Linked DNA regions of Sus scrofa. The protein of the gene in region 2 interacts with the protein of the main gene of each other region in a biochemical or structural test. Links are inferred from orthologs where the notes say so. Each region holds a gene or a part of one and is shown on either strand. Other genes may lie near its edges.

What was found. The genes of interacting proteins can lie anywhere in the genome.
Region 1: the proteins of DMD (region 2) and DTNA form a complex in vitro, tested with the Homo sapiens proteins (3 studies listed by BioGRID and IntAct, with this or other methods). The link is inferred for Sus scrofa from reciprocal best matches to the Homo sapiens genes DMD and DTNA.

The regions. Positions count from the first base shown.
Region 1 is NC_010448.4:118,331,892-118,335,874, forward strand, and holds the start of DTNA (dystrobrevin alpha), read left to right. Parts: upstream 1-1,183; 5' UTR 1,184-1,419; intron 1,420-2,152; exon of another isoform or gene 2,153-2,465; intron 2,466-3,983. UniProt on the Homo sapiens protein: May be involved in the formation and stability of synapses as well as being involved in the clustering of nicotinic acetylcholine receptors.
Region 2 is NC_010461.5:29,646,103-29,654,301, reverse strand, and holds the start of DMD (dystrophin), read left to right. Parts: upstream 1-3,574; 5' UTR 3,575-3,733; coding exon 3,734-3,815; intron 3,816-8,199. UniProt on the Homo sapiens protein: Anchors the extracellular matrix to the cytoskeleton via F-actin. Ligand for dystroglycan.

The DNA.
Region 1 (3,983 bases), on a different chromosome or scaffold from region 2:
CAATTAGCTGTAAACTAATGGAGAACAGGTTCCATGCATTAAACTCCTTTATACCCTTCAAAACATAGCACAGCGCTTCATACACACTAGGCAGTTGAAAAGGGATTGAATGAAATATAGAAATCACTATGAAATCAATGACTATACCAAAAGCATTGACTAAAATTGCTTGATATTTGCTATGTATGGCGTGCAAACTACTCAAATGAATGAGTACACACATATGCATGCAGAGATGTACAACACTCCCAGAAAAGAAAGAAAATAAATGAAAATATGAAACTGGAGAGACACACAAATATACAAGAGAATATTCTATGGAAACACTACAATAGAAAATTAATTAATCAATTAATTTTCAATCTTAGATTGTAGGTCACTTAAAAATAATCAAAATATCTCCATTATTTTTCAGTACCTTAAGTTCCCAGGAATTGATTTTAGTGAATTAGCAATCTGTGAGTAGCTGTACAATTAATATTTACAGGGAAATACTGACTTACGTGAACTTGGATAAGTCATGTTATTTGACCTATGTTTCTGTGTCTCCGAAGTGACAGTACTAGTTGCCTTCTCATCCACCTCCTCTGCAAAGATGTTCTGCAAATAAATGAGGTAATGTTTGGGAAATGTTTGCAGCTTGGGAGAGAAACCCACTGCACACATCTCAAATGTTACTATTCCATAGTCAAGCCTGGTATGTTATTGCCTCTGTTTTATTTTTTTAATCACTCAATGAATTTTATTACATTCATAGTTGTACAATGATCATCACAACCAAATTTTATAGCATATCCATCCCAAACCCCCATGCCTCTGTTTTAAATTGAAAATTGTACTGTTTGAGCCCTTGGGTTCTAACCAAAATCTGGGTCAACATAAGATGATGATTATTTTTAATTTTAATTCTGAAGCTCTGTTCAGCTCCCTTGCACGTGTGAGGGCCAACTGTAGGAAATAAACAAAGCACATAAATCAAGGTTTGAAAGAGAAATATCTTTATCCGGAAGAAAAATTTTTTTTTCTCTCAATGAAGACAGTGAACACTGTATTTCCCTGAAAGAATATTTCGGTCCAGAAAGGAGGATAGTGCATGCAGCGTGAGCGTGTGTGTGCGTGTGTGTGCATGTGTGTGTATGTGTGTGTGCTGTGCGTGCGCGCCCGCGGAGAGAAGGGCGGGGGAGGCGGATGAGGAGGATGAGATCATAGTTTCAGGATCCTCAGGAAACCCTGGTACTGGCAGCAGCCAGCCTCTGCTGTGCCCACATGACCCACAACTCTGGCAGCGGACCCGGCACTTCCAACATTATTAAATAATAAGAAAGCGGCTCGGACTCCATGCCCAAACCTCCCTACAAACCGGTGGACACCTTCTAAGAGTTTGGCGAGTCAGCGACTGAGGCGCCCGTCCATTCTAAGGTGTGTGCAAGGCGTTTTCTTCCTTGACAGCTCCCTAGTGGGGGAGGGCGCGGGAGTGCAGGGGGTCCGGGTGGCTGGCGAAGGGTGGGCACGGGGCCCGGGTGCGGCGAGTTGCCCCCGGCCGCCCGGTGCAGCGGCGATGCCCGTGACGCGCAGCCCCAGCTGCGCAGGGACCGCAGCCGCCCACGGCGCCGGGGCGCGGGCACGGGAGCTTGGCCGCCGGAGCAAGGGCAGGCGCCGCGCACCCGGCAAAGTCAAGAGTGGAAACGGGAGGCGAGCGCCGGCTGGGGGGAGGGAATCGCCCTAACGCCCACTCGCGGGGTTCCCACCTGTGCGCGGGCGCCGGCCGCCGGGAGCGCGAAGCATGTGCCGGGCGCCGCAGCCAGGACTGCGGCTCGGCGCCTCCCCGGGCGGCGGGCGGCGCCTCTGGCCCGCGGGGCGGCGGGAGTGGCTGCGGCAGGATGGCCCGCCCGGGGGCGCGGGGCCGCGCAGGTAAATGCCCGCTGCCTGCCGAGGCCCGGCCACGCCGCAGCCCCCACCCCCACCCACACCCCTACCCCCACCCCGCCACCGCTGCCGCCGCCGCTGCGCCGCTCCCGGGCGGGCCATGGCAGCTGGCTCCCTTGCGCCGCAGGTCGAGTTGTTTTTGTGGTCACTGCTACTGTCTCGGTGGTTCCCGCGGGCTGAGCTGCTGGGAGGTGGCGTGGCCACCTCCATTAGGGATGACACTCACGTGGGGAGCAGTCTAGGGGGCTATTATCGACCGGGAAGTCCGCGGTGGGGTCCTCTCCAGCCGGCGGCGTCTGCGCGTGTTGCAATGCACTGCGGTGACCGGGCGGCGGGCCGGGTGGGAGTGGGCGCCCCGTGCTGGGGAGCGGCGCGGGCCGGGCGGGCGCTGGGGGCGGGGTGGGGATGGTGAGTATTCGGCTTTTATAGCCTGTTGCCCACTTTGGAGTTTTCCGCTGGACGGACGGCGGACGCTAGGTTCGTTCTGGTAAGGGAGTGAGAGGTGGCGTGGTGTCTGTCCAAGAGACCAAAGCCAAGGAGAGAAGAGGGCTGGCGGGGCTGGGCCCAGTGGGACCACGCCTGGACTTGGTAGCAAAACTTTGGTCTTTGGCAGGCTTGGGGTATGGCTTTGAGGAGGTAAGTGTAGAGCTTGAGTAGGGGTGGGGGGAGAAAATGGACACATTCTGGCGGTGAAGTTCGCTGCCATTGGGTTCATTGTTGGTCTAAAAAAAAGGTCTTTTGATGTTTCTTCTTTTGATGTTCAGGTTTCCTATTATCTCTTATGATCACTTGGTATTTAATGTGTGTTGTGTTTCCTATGTATCAGTTACCTATGTTGCTAAAAGTATACATAATCATTCATTTCTTTTACAAAAAGGACTTATTTTGCTTATTCCAAAGGTAGAAACTTTAGGAAAAAAGCAGCTTTCCATAATGTTCCAGACACAGTCCTATGAACTTTAGCTTTATTCACTCAATTGTAGGTTTATTCACTAACCTTATGGTAGTTAATTCTTACACTACATAAGGGGTGGGTAATAATACTGTCCACCTTTCACCCATGAGGAAATCCAGATACAGAGGTGAAGTAATTTGCCCAAGGTCATTAAATGTTATTAAATGTTCAGAACCCAGTTGAGCTTTTGTACTCTAAACCAACTTTCATATATTTTTTTTTAATGAAATAGGACCCCATTGTTCCTGAAGTCTTCTCTCTATTGGCTGTATTGACCACACCACTCTACCAAGATGAACATCAACTATGTGCTACATGTTATAATTATGGCAAATATCCTTTGAGTTCTTTCCTTTTCCCACCCTTGACCAAGTTTCCTACCACAATTATAAAGAAGTGTTTATCAGTAGAGTTAAGCTTTTCAGCAGTTAGGATTTATCAGCAAAGTGTATTGTGATAAAGCAGGCGGCTGAATCTGTATGTTTGTGCTTAATTGTAAACTTCCTAAGGTATCAGTCTGTTCTTTGCTCAAGGCAGGGCCATCATTTTCTTCAGAACACCATCTTGCAGAAATGTTGAGCAAGTTTAATCATCTTTAATTCAATCACTCTGACAAGCACTTAGGCAGTTTTAAAAGAAGAATTATGCAATTCTCATTCAACTATCAGCAACTAAAAGCAGACTATATTGTGAGGGTGTTCGTGGATGTCATGCGTTTTCACCAGTTCTGTGTACTTAACACAAAGTTGGGTGGCAATGAAGTTGAAATAGTGTAAATATCTCCACTTGTTTTAAATGAATCATGATGTGAAGAAAGGTCTCAGTGGGGTGAAGTCCAACTGCAACATATTTAGAGAATTACTTCTCATTTGAGCTTATCAGGGAGCTCTCATAATACTCATTTTTATTGGACAGATGTCTCTCTTAGGTCGTCATCTGTTATCTTTTCAAGTAAATTTAATTGCTTCCCATAACGAGTTTCAAAATTATTTTGACATTCATAGATTTCCTTAAGTCTTCTCTTTCAGTTTAATTAAATTCAGTATACATATTTCACTTCCCCCTTACCTAACGTGGTAAGTGAAAAGAGGCTAGAATCCAA
Region 2 (8,199 bases):
ATTTGAAATCCTGTTTAAAAAAAAGTGTCCATCCCAAGGTCATGAAACCATTCTCTTATGTTATCTTCTATGGCATTTTTATTATTTTTCCTTTAACAGTTGTTACATTTAAGTCTAAAATTGAATCTCCATCTGACCCAACACTATTTACTGAGAGGAATTTTCATTCCTTATGAATGATAGTGCCACCTTTGTCATAAATCAGGTGATTATATATATGAGTCTGTACTTTCAGTTAATTGTAGTATTTGTCTATCCTCACACCAAGAGCACACTGTTTGAATTACAATAGCTCCACAATAATTTGTAATTATCTGTTAGTGAAAACTCTCCAACTTTGTTCTTCTTAAGATTCTCTTGGCTATTTAGACCCATTTTTATGTCTACATGTATTTTAGAATTTACACACACACACACTCCTGGTGGGACTGATTGGGGCTTCACTAACTCTACAGATCAACTTTAGGGGAGTTTACATCTTTACAACCTTAATCTTACCAATCCATGACTATAATATATTTCTCCATTTATTTAGGTATTTTTTAATTTTGCTCATTTATACTATGTATGTGTTTAGAGTTCTTGCACATATTTTATGTTTGTTGATGAAATTATTCTTAAAAATCATTTAAAAATAGTTTATAGCAATACAATTAATTTTTAGACATTAACATAACACCGAGAAACCTTGTTAAATCTATTTATTGATTGTAATATTTTATCTGAGGATTCTGTGGATTTTCTATGTATATGTAGCCTGCAAACAATAAAAACTTCATTCTCCTTTTCCAAACCTCATAACTTTTACTTTGTTTTCTTGTTATGCTGACTAGTATATTAAAGTAGAATTTGATATAATTTATACAAACATTTTAGTGGATTAAGGAACATTCCTTCTATTCCTAGTTCACCAGGAGGTTTTGTATTTTTTTACTTTTTGTGAGTTTGAGTTAAATGTTTGAATAATTTCTCTGCATTTATCTTTTATATATATATAATGATTTTTATTTTTTTACATTATAGCTGGTTTACAGTGTTCTGTCAGTTTTCCACTGTACAGCATGGTGGCCCAGTTACACATACATGTATACATTCTTTTTTCTTACATTATCTTGCTCCATCATAAGTGACCAGACATAGTTCCCAGTGTGTTTTTAATGTGATCAATCACAATAACTGGGTTTCAGGTATTAAAATGAACCTTTGTTTGCCCAAATAAAATGAACTTCATTGTGATACATATATTGTTGTTTTACTATAGCACTGGATTTGTTTTGTTTTGAGAATAACTTGGTTATGGTACAAATCATATTCTTTTGAAAAAGTAGCTGCATTATATTCCCTTGTTTGAAATAATTGTTTCAAAGAGTTCCCAATTAAAAGACATTTGGGTGGTTTTCAGTGAATATGTTCTTAGAAATAAGGCATCAATAAAAAAACATATATATATATATATATATATATCCTTATATGCTGCTGATTTTATTTCTGTAAGGTAGATTCTTAAAAGACGAATTGATGCGCAACAGATTACATACATTTTAATAGCTATTTTCATGTTATTTTCTTAAAATGTATCAATATTTCACCAGTGTGGAATATGAATAGCTTTTTTCTCATCCCCTTTCCAGAATTGAATGTTATTCTAACAACTATACCTCTCATCAGTTTAATCTAAGTGTCTTACACATTTTTTGGATCCCAAGTAGTTCTAATCATATTTCTGATGGGTCCTTCTCGTAGGTTTATAATCTAGTGTTTGTTTACGAATGCCCCCATAAACTTAAACTGTTATAGATTCCTCATTTGGTTTTATTTTGTATATTTGGATTTTTAATCTATCTGAAACTCAAATAGTTTAAATTACATGAGTCTAACTTTATGGAAACACTATTATCATATATTCCATTTTAAATGACTGAATGGAAATATATTTAGTGTACCACTTTGGCAGGATTTCTTTTTGGATTTTATTCTGTTCCATAATTTTGTCTATTCCAGTACCAATTCCTTACTGCTCTGATCAGAGTAGCATAATCATATAAAATGGGGTGTGCCCCAATCTTTGTGTTTAAAAAAAATTCTGAACAATTCTTGTGCTTCTATTCCTTTCTGAAATAGGAGCTGTGTTATGTCTCTGAATATTTCCCATCTGATGAACTTTTTAGAAAGAGGACTGAAAGGTCTGATAATAATAAGTATTTGGGAAACATAAAATATCTGCCTGTAAATAATGACAAAGACAGATTTTCAATAGGCATAACATCTCAGGCTGATGCTAATTGAGAAATACCTGGTTGAGGCTCCATCCTGAGAGTTGTTCTATGTTTAAGGAAATTTTGGAGTGAAGCATAACATTTTTGTCAACATAAATTATCCACTGCTATGCAAAAGGCCAATCTGGGGATAGAAAACACGACAGCAAATATATTATGTTTTTAACCTAAGGCAATATAATGGAAATGGAAGAGGGTTACTGATAAAATTGCCTTTATGAAGGCACCCGATTGTCTGTCTGTAAGTCCCTTTATCACAATGTTTTTCAAACTTGATTGCATATTGGAATAACTGGAGAGCTTTTCACACTGTTAATGCCCAGGTGAGAGTCCAGCACAATTAATCATCATTTCTGGGAGTGGAAACCAGGCCTTAGTGGTTTGTAAAGTTCCCCAGATGATTCCACTGTCTAGCAATGGTAGAGAACCCTGCTTTAGAAGAGGCTAAGAATCTACTCTGGATGAAAATGCAGAGGAAAACAGGAAAAGAAAATCCTTAGCTGTTGCTAGGCCCCTTGCCAAGCTCTTCTTGTAAAGTTAATTTGTCTTTGGTAGGTGATGGGCAGGATTTGGGGTGACTGAGCTTCTGCAGGAAGAAATGCAGGATGAACTATATATGTGTAGGGGTAGGGGGGAGGAGTAAGGTTACTAACCAAATGAAAGTAGCTTCTGAAATTTTTAGAAAATAATGTCATACGAGCTGTTTATAGTCCAATCTAATTCTAGCTTCAGTGGTGGGAGGAAGGGATGGAGGAGGGAGAGTGATTACACACAGAAAGAAGGGTGGGTAGCTTTGGAGAAATCTCCTAAGAAATATGATTATGCTCAGCCTGTATTCCCCACTTCTTGTCAGTGCATTAGAGTCAGGATACAACGATGGTGGGGTACACACGTGTGAGTGACCCAGATAGCTAAAGCCAGTGACCCTTCTCTTCAGTGTAGTCATCTTATAAGTGGCAATGCTAAATCATTCATGACCTCATGTGCTGCTTTTGGCAAGCGATTCCCTAATTGCTCCTGTTTTTGCATCGATTCTGCGCAGCGTGGAAAAGCGAGTCTCCAACTTGCTGGTGTATTTATTGACCATCGGGTCCCTCCTCAGCTTTCACCTTCCAGTCCTCGCCCACTCTATTTTGGGGGCAGGAAGTGGGAATCGCACCTGTTTCCTCTTCTCAAGCATGAGCTGGGCATTTTAACCGCCCCCTCTTTCCACCAAGCCAGGTGTTGGTGTTTGTGTGTTTTCCAGCTCACCATCCCTTCCCGCCGCCCCACTCCACCCCACCCACCCCCACGCATCCCTATTTCCGTGGGTGAGGACCCAGGAAGGTGATAAATCCACCCTCATACACCGGATCTCCAGCGCGCTACCTGCTTTGGAGAGCATCAGGCAGACCGCGCGGACCCACCTGCCTCCAAAGTTTGGGGCGTGGGAGAGCCAGGGCACGTGGCGTGTGGCTATGGCTCAGCCAAGGGGTCCGGAGCAGTCAGGGGAAGATGCCGCTGGAGATGGATTCACCGACGTCATCAGGAGCCGCGCTGGTAGGACCTTGCTGTTTTGCTTTTTAGCGTGGGGGTGTCGAGCGTTGCGGCTCCTCTCTGCAGAGGCTGTGCCCTAGAAGTTAGTACAGGGTTTCGGAAAGTTGTTGTGGCGAGGAGTGAAGGAGCAGCAGGGGACAATCACTACGCCCCCGAGCTTGGGAGGGTGGGTCCGAGGGAGGAGGGGGCGCCGCTCCTCGAAAAAGCCGAAACTCACGTTTTTCTTTTGGGTCAGGTAGATACTGGTGGGCGAATTTCTTTCTCTCTCTCTCTCTCTTTTTTTTTTTTTCAAGAAAGCCTCGGGATATTGGTTTTATTATAGGATGGTAACGTATTTTAAAAATGTAAAAGAATAAGCAGACTAATTTAAAAGAAATATTGTCGTAGTAATAGCCTTTGAGGAGAGAGGGGTGGGGAGGTGTGGGAAGGCCTGCTGGTCAGGGTGTGGCCAAGTGCTGAGTTAAGAAATCTGAGAAGTTTCACCTCACTTGTAGGAAAATGTCAGAAGGGCAGGGCAGGAAGGTTTGCGTGCCCAGAGCATAACTATAGGAGTTGAAAACCAGTAAAGAAGCAGGAATAAAAAGTCTAAGGTTTTTGCAGGTTACCACAGTGCCCTTTCATTTGTAAAGAATCTTCAAGTATTTGGTAGTCTGGCCTACATGTGCAAACACTTGTAAACTAGGATAGGTCTTTAAAGCTGTAAATGGAAGCAGCTGTTAAGCTTTACCAAAGGATGAAGTTTCAGCTGCTTGAATCCCTTCCTCTCACCCTTGGAAATGCACCAAATTGTGGACAGCAAAATTGTGTTGAATGTTGAAGAAGACAAAGGCATAAAGTTAATGTGCAAGTGTATTTCTGATAAGAAATTAAAGAAAATATCACAGTAGAAAGCAAACAAAAATGAGTAAGAAACAAAAATTGGTTATAAACTCCCCAAAAGGAGTTCAGAGCAGGATTTCTTTTCACAAGGAGTAAACTTGTATATGCAAGTAATGGTGCCCCTAAGTCAAAAAAGAATGGTACCTCTGACAATGCCTGGGAGGAATAGTTGTATCCAATTTTAACATCTCTCTTATCTTCTTTTCCTCATGCCATTACTTAACATGTTTCTCTGATTTTAAAGGGAAATAGGGTAAACTTTCCTAAATGGAATGCCCTTCTCATTCAACACATAGGATGAGAGAATTGGTTTTAAGTAATTACCTTAAAATAGCAATTTGAAAAGATACATTGGATAGTTTCATATATAGCTTTAAAATTGCTATTGTTTATACAGTTTATTAGACAAGTTCCTTGTAGCTATCATCTGAAATATGCAGAAGGGCATTTACTATAAATCTGTAACAGGGTATTATTTTGGGTAAAGTGTGTTAATTTAAGAATTCTACAAAGTATTTTTATATTGTGCTACTTCTACATTTGACAATGCATGAGAAAAGGAGAAAAAGATCTCCAAATTTATTTTTAATACTAGGTTTGTGTGGGTTCCTGTGTTGTGGAAATGGTTAGTTTAAATCCATCTCTAAGGAAAATTTGACCTTTCTATAACTTTGAATTCCACATCAGATATTACTTTTGAGTCACTTTAAAATGGAATTTTGTTGTTGTTGTTGCTGTTTACATTTGTGAAATTAAGCTTTTATTAGAACTGAGACTCCCCATGGGGTGAGTGGTAGGTAAGTCCAACAGGTTACTTTATTTTCACAACCCACCTTTTTCTTTTTGATAAGCCCTTACCTTTAAGGGTTTAGAGCCCATTAAATAAAAAAAAAAATTGCTTTGAATATTTTAGTTTCTGTACCTTCATGAAACCCGTATTTTCTGTATTTTTTTATAGGTTTTGATTTTGTTTTTAATTCTGAAGCACAAGGGGCATCTGCTATTAATAAATGCTTTTTGTAGCCAATTTCTATGCACAGGAAAAAAAATAATGTGGTGGGACTAACAGTAATGCCAAAAAAAAGCAAACCTAAGAACCTGTTATATGGTAATAAATAATTCTCCCCGCTACCACCCCTCCCCCTGACTTTCTCTCACATATTAGTCTTTCCTAGACCTAGTTAAATGACAAGGTAAATTTTACAATGCCTCAAAGGTTATAAAAATAAACTACATAAAATGATTGTTTTCAGTGGCACTATTGAATATTGTTTCTTACACTGTTAAAAAGTATAACTCATAAAAATTGAAGATACAAAGATAATTAAAATAAAAATTTAATAAATAGTCATACTTTATTACATGGATTTTTATACAGGTGTTCTTGATTCATCATTTGAAAAGTCTTAATAGTGTGGTACTTTGAGTATCTCTTAATTTTTCCTCTCACAACTGCTTATGCTTAACTCATCTTCAACAAGGACAATACTTGTACGTAGTTAATCTTTCCATACATGACCTCGATAATCATGGGAGTTCTATGCCTTGGATAAAAACTGTTAGAAAATGAATGGCTAGCCCCAATCAGAACTTTCACTCTGGTATAAAAATCAGCTATCTGGGAGTTCCCGTCATGGCTTAGTGGTTAATGAATCCAACTAGGAAGCATGAGATTGTGGGTTTGATCCCTGGCCTCGCTCAGTGGGTTAAGGATCCGGCTTTGTCGCGAGCTGTGGTGTAGGTCGAAGATGTGGCTCGGATCCTGAGTTGCTGTGGCTGTGGTGTAGGCTGGCAGCTACAGCTCCAATTAGACCCCTAGCCTGGGAACCTCCATATACTGCAGGTGCAGCCCTAGAAAAGACAAAAAAAAAAAAAACAACAAAAACAAAACAACAAAAAAAAGTCAGCTATCTTAAAAGTAAAATCTCAGCAATTAAAAGCATTTCAATACAGTATATTTACAACTGTCAGGTATTTTGTTTGTTGGTTTGTTTGGATACTCAAATACTGGCACTTGATCTCCTATTGATTGGGTATGCTTTCCTGTAGTTAGAAATAGCTCAGTGTAACATAAACAGCTCCATGCTGTTAATCTTTTTAAACCAGATGTAAATTAACTACCTCTGAATAGTTTTATGACTTGTATGTGTGTGTGGTTTGTATTCATTTGGCATCTCCTGGCACATCTTCCGATTTTTTACTGGCACAGAATCATGTATGAATAATTGAGCAAAGTGTACCTATGGATCTGTGTCATGAAAGTTTTTTTTTAACCTCTTTAACACTGAAAAAAATCAGGTATTTTCTTCAGAATAAAATTAGCTGAGCAGGTTTTGCTTTTTAAAAATGTATGTGTGTGTGTGTGACTGGGTCACTTTGCTGTACAGTAGAAATTGACAGAACACTGTAAACCAACTATTATGGAAAAATAAAAATCACTTTAAAAAGAAAAAAATAAAGCATAAGGAAGATTATTCTTAGTTATAGATCTTGGAGTCAGGTGTAACAGGATCTTTCTGGTGATCAGTTTTTCATAAATAGGCTCATATTTTGTTCCAAATTCCAACTATGGGAGATTATTACACCAAATTTTTGATATATTTGGTTATAAAGAGCCTATTGTAAAGGTTAACATATAAAAGTTAGGCCAAATGACTATTTTAAAAAGCACTTAGCTCATTTCTTTAGTATTTTAACTATGTTTATTAAAAACAAGAGTGCAGTATAAGTGGACTCTTTTCACTTTGAGCTAATGGGCTTAAATTATACCCTATTGCCACTAACAATTAGATACTCAGAACAAACTAAGAATCAAATTGGACAAAGATATTAAGGATTTTATAAGGAAAAACAAAAATCAGAAGATGTTTTGAATAACCATTATTTCATAACTGCCAATTATTTCAATTGGAAATATTTTCTTCCTGGCCATTTAGTATCTAAGGAGTCATTTGGTAATGAAGCCTGTATTTATCTAACCCTTGAAAATTACATGTTCATATCATGCTGAATAAGTAGGATAATTCATCATGCCTGTTTGCACGAGAACTACTTTGGTACTTAAAAAAACAAAACAAAAAAACAAAACAAAAAAAAACCTTTAGTGTTAAAATTTTGCTTTGCCTTAATATGTAAGGATTCCTCTCCACAGAGACCTTGTGAAGGAAATTGTAGTGAATACTTTTCACAGATAACAGTTTCTAAAGTATGTTGTACTATAGTGTAAGTTTTATTCTGTTTTAGGTAATTGGTATGACAGCATCGTGATTGCAAAAATAGATAGAGCTAAGGACTAGAAGACTGGAAAACCTTCCCTTTTCATTCTGGATTCTAAGGAGAACCTTGAGATTTATGGGGGCTAAAATATCATTTTATGCAAGTTATTTAACATTATACCAATGGTGTTTTCAAATCTAAGTATTAAATTTTCTCTGATACGACAATGGATTAAATGCAATCCTTTCCTCCAAGGCAGAAAACTGGAAATTTTCATATTGAGTTAATAAGT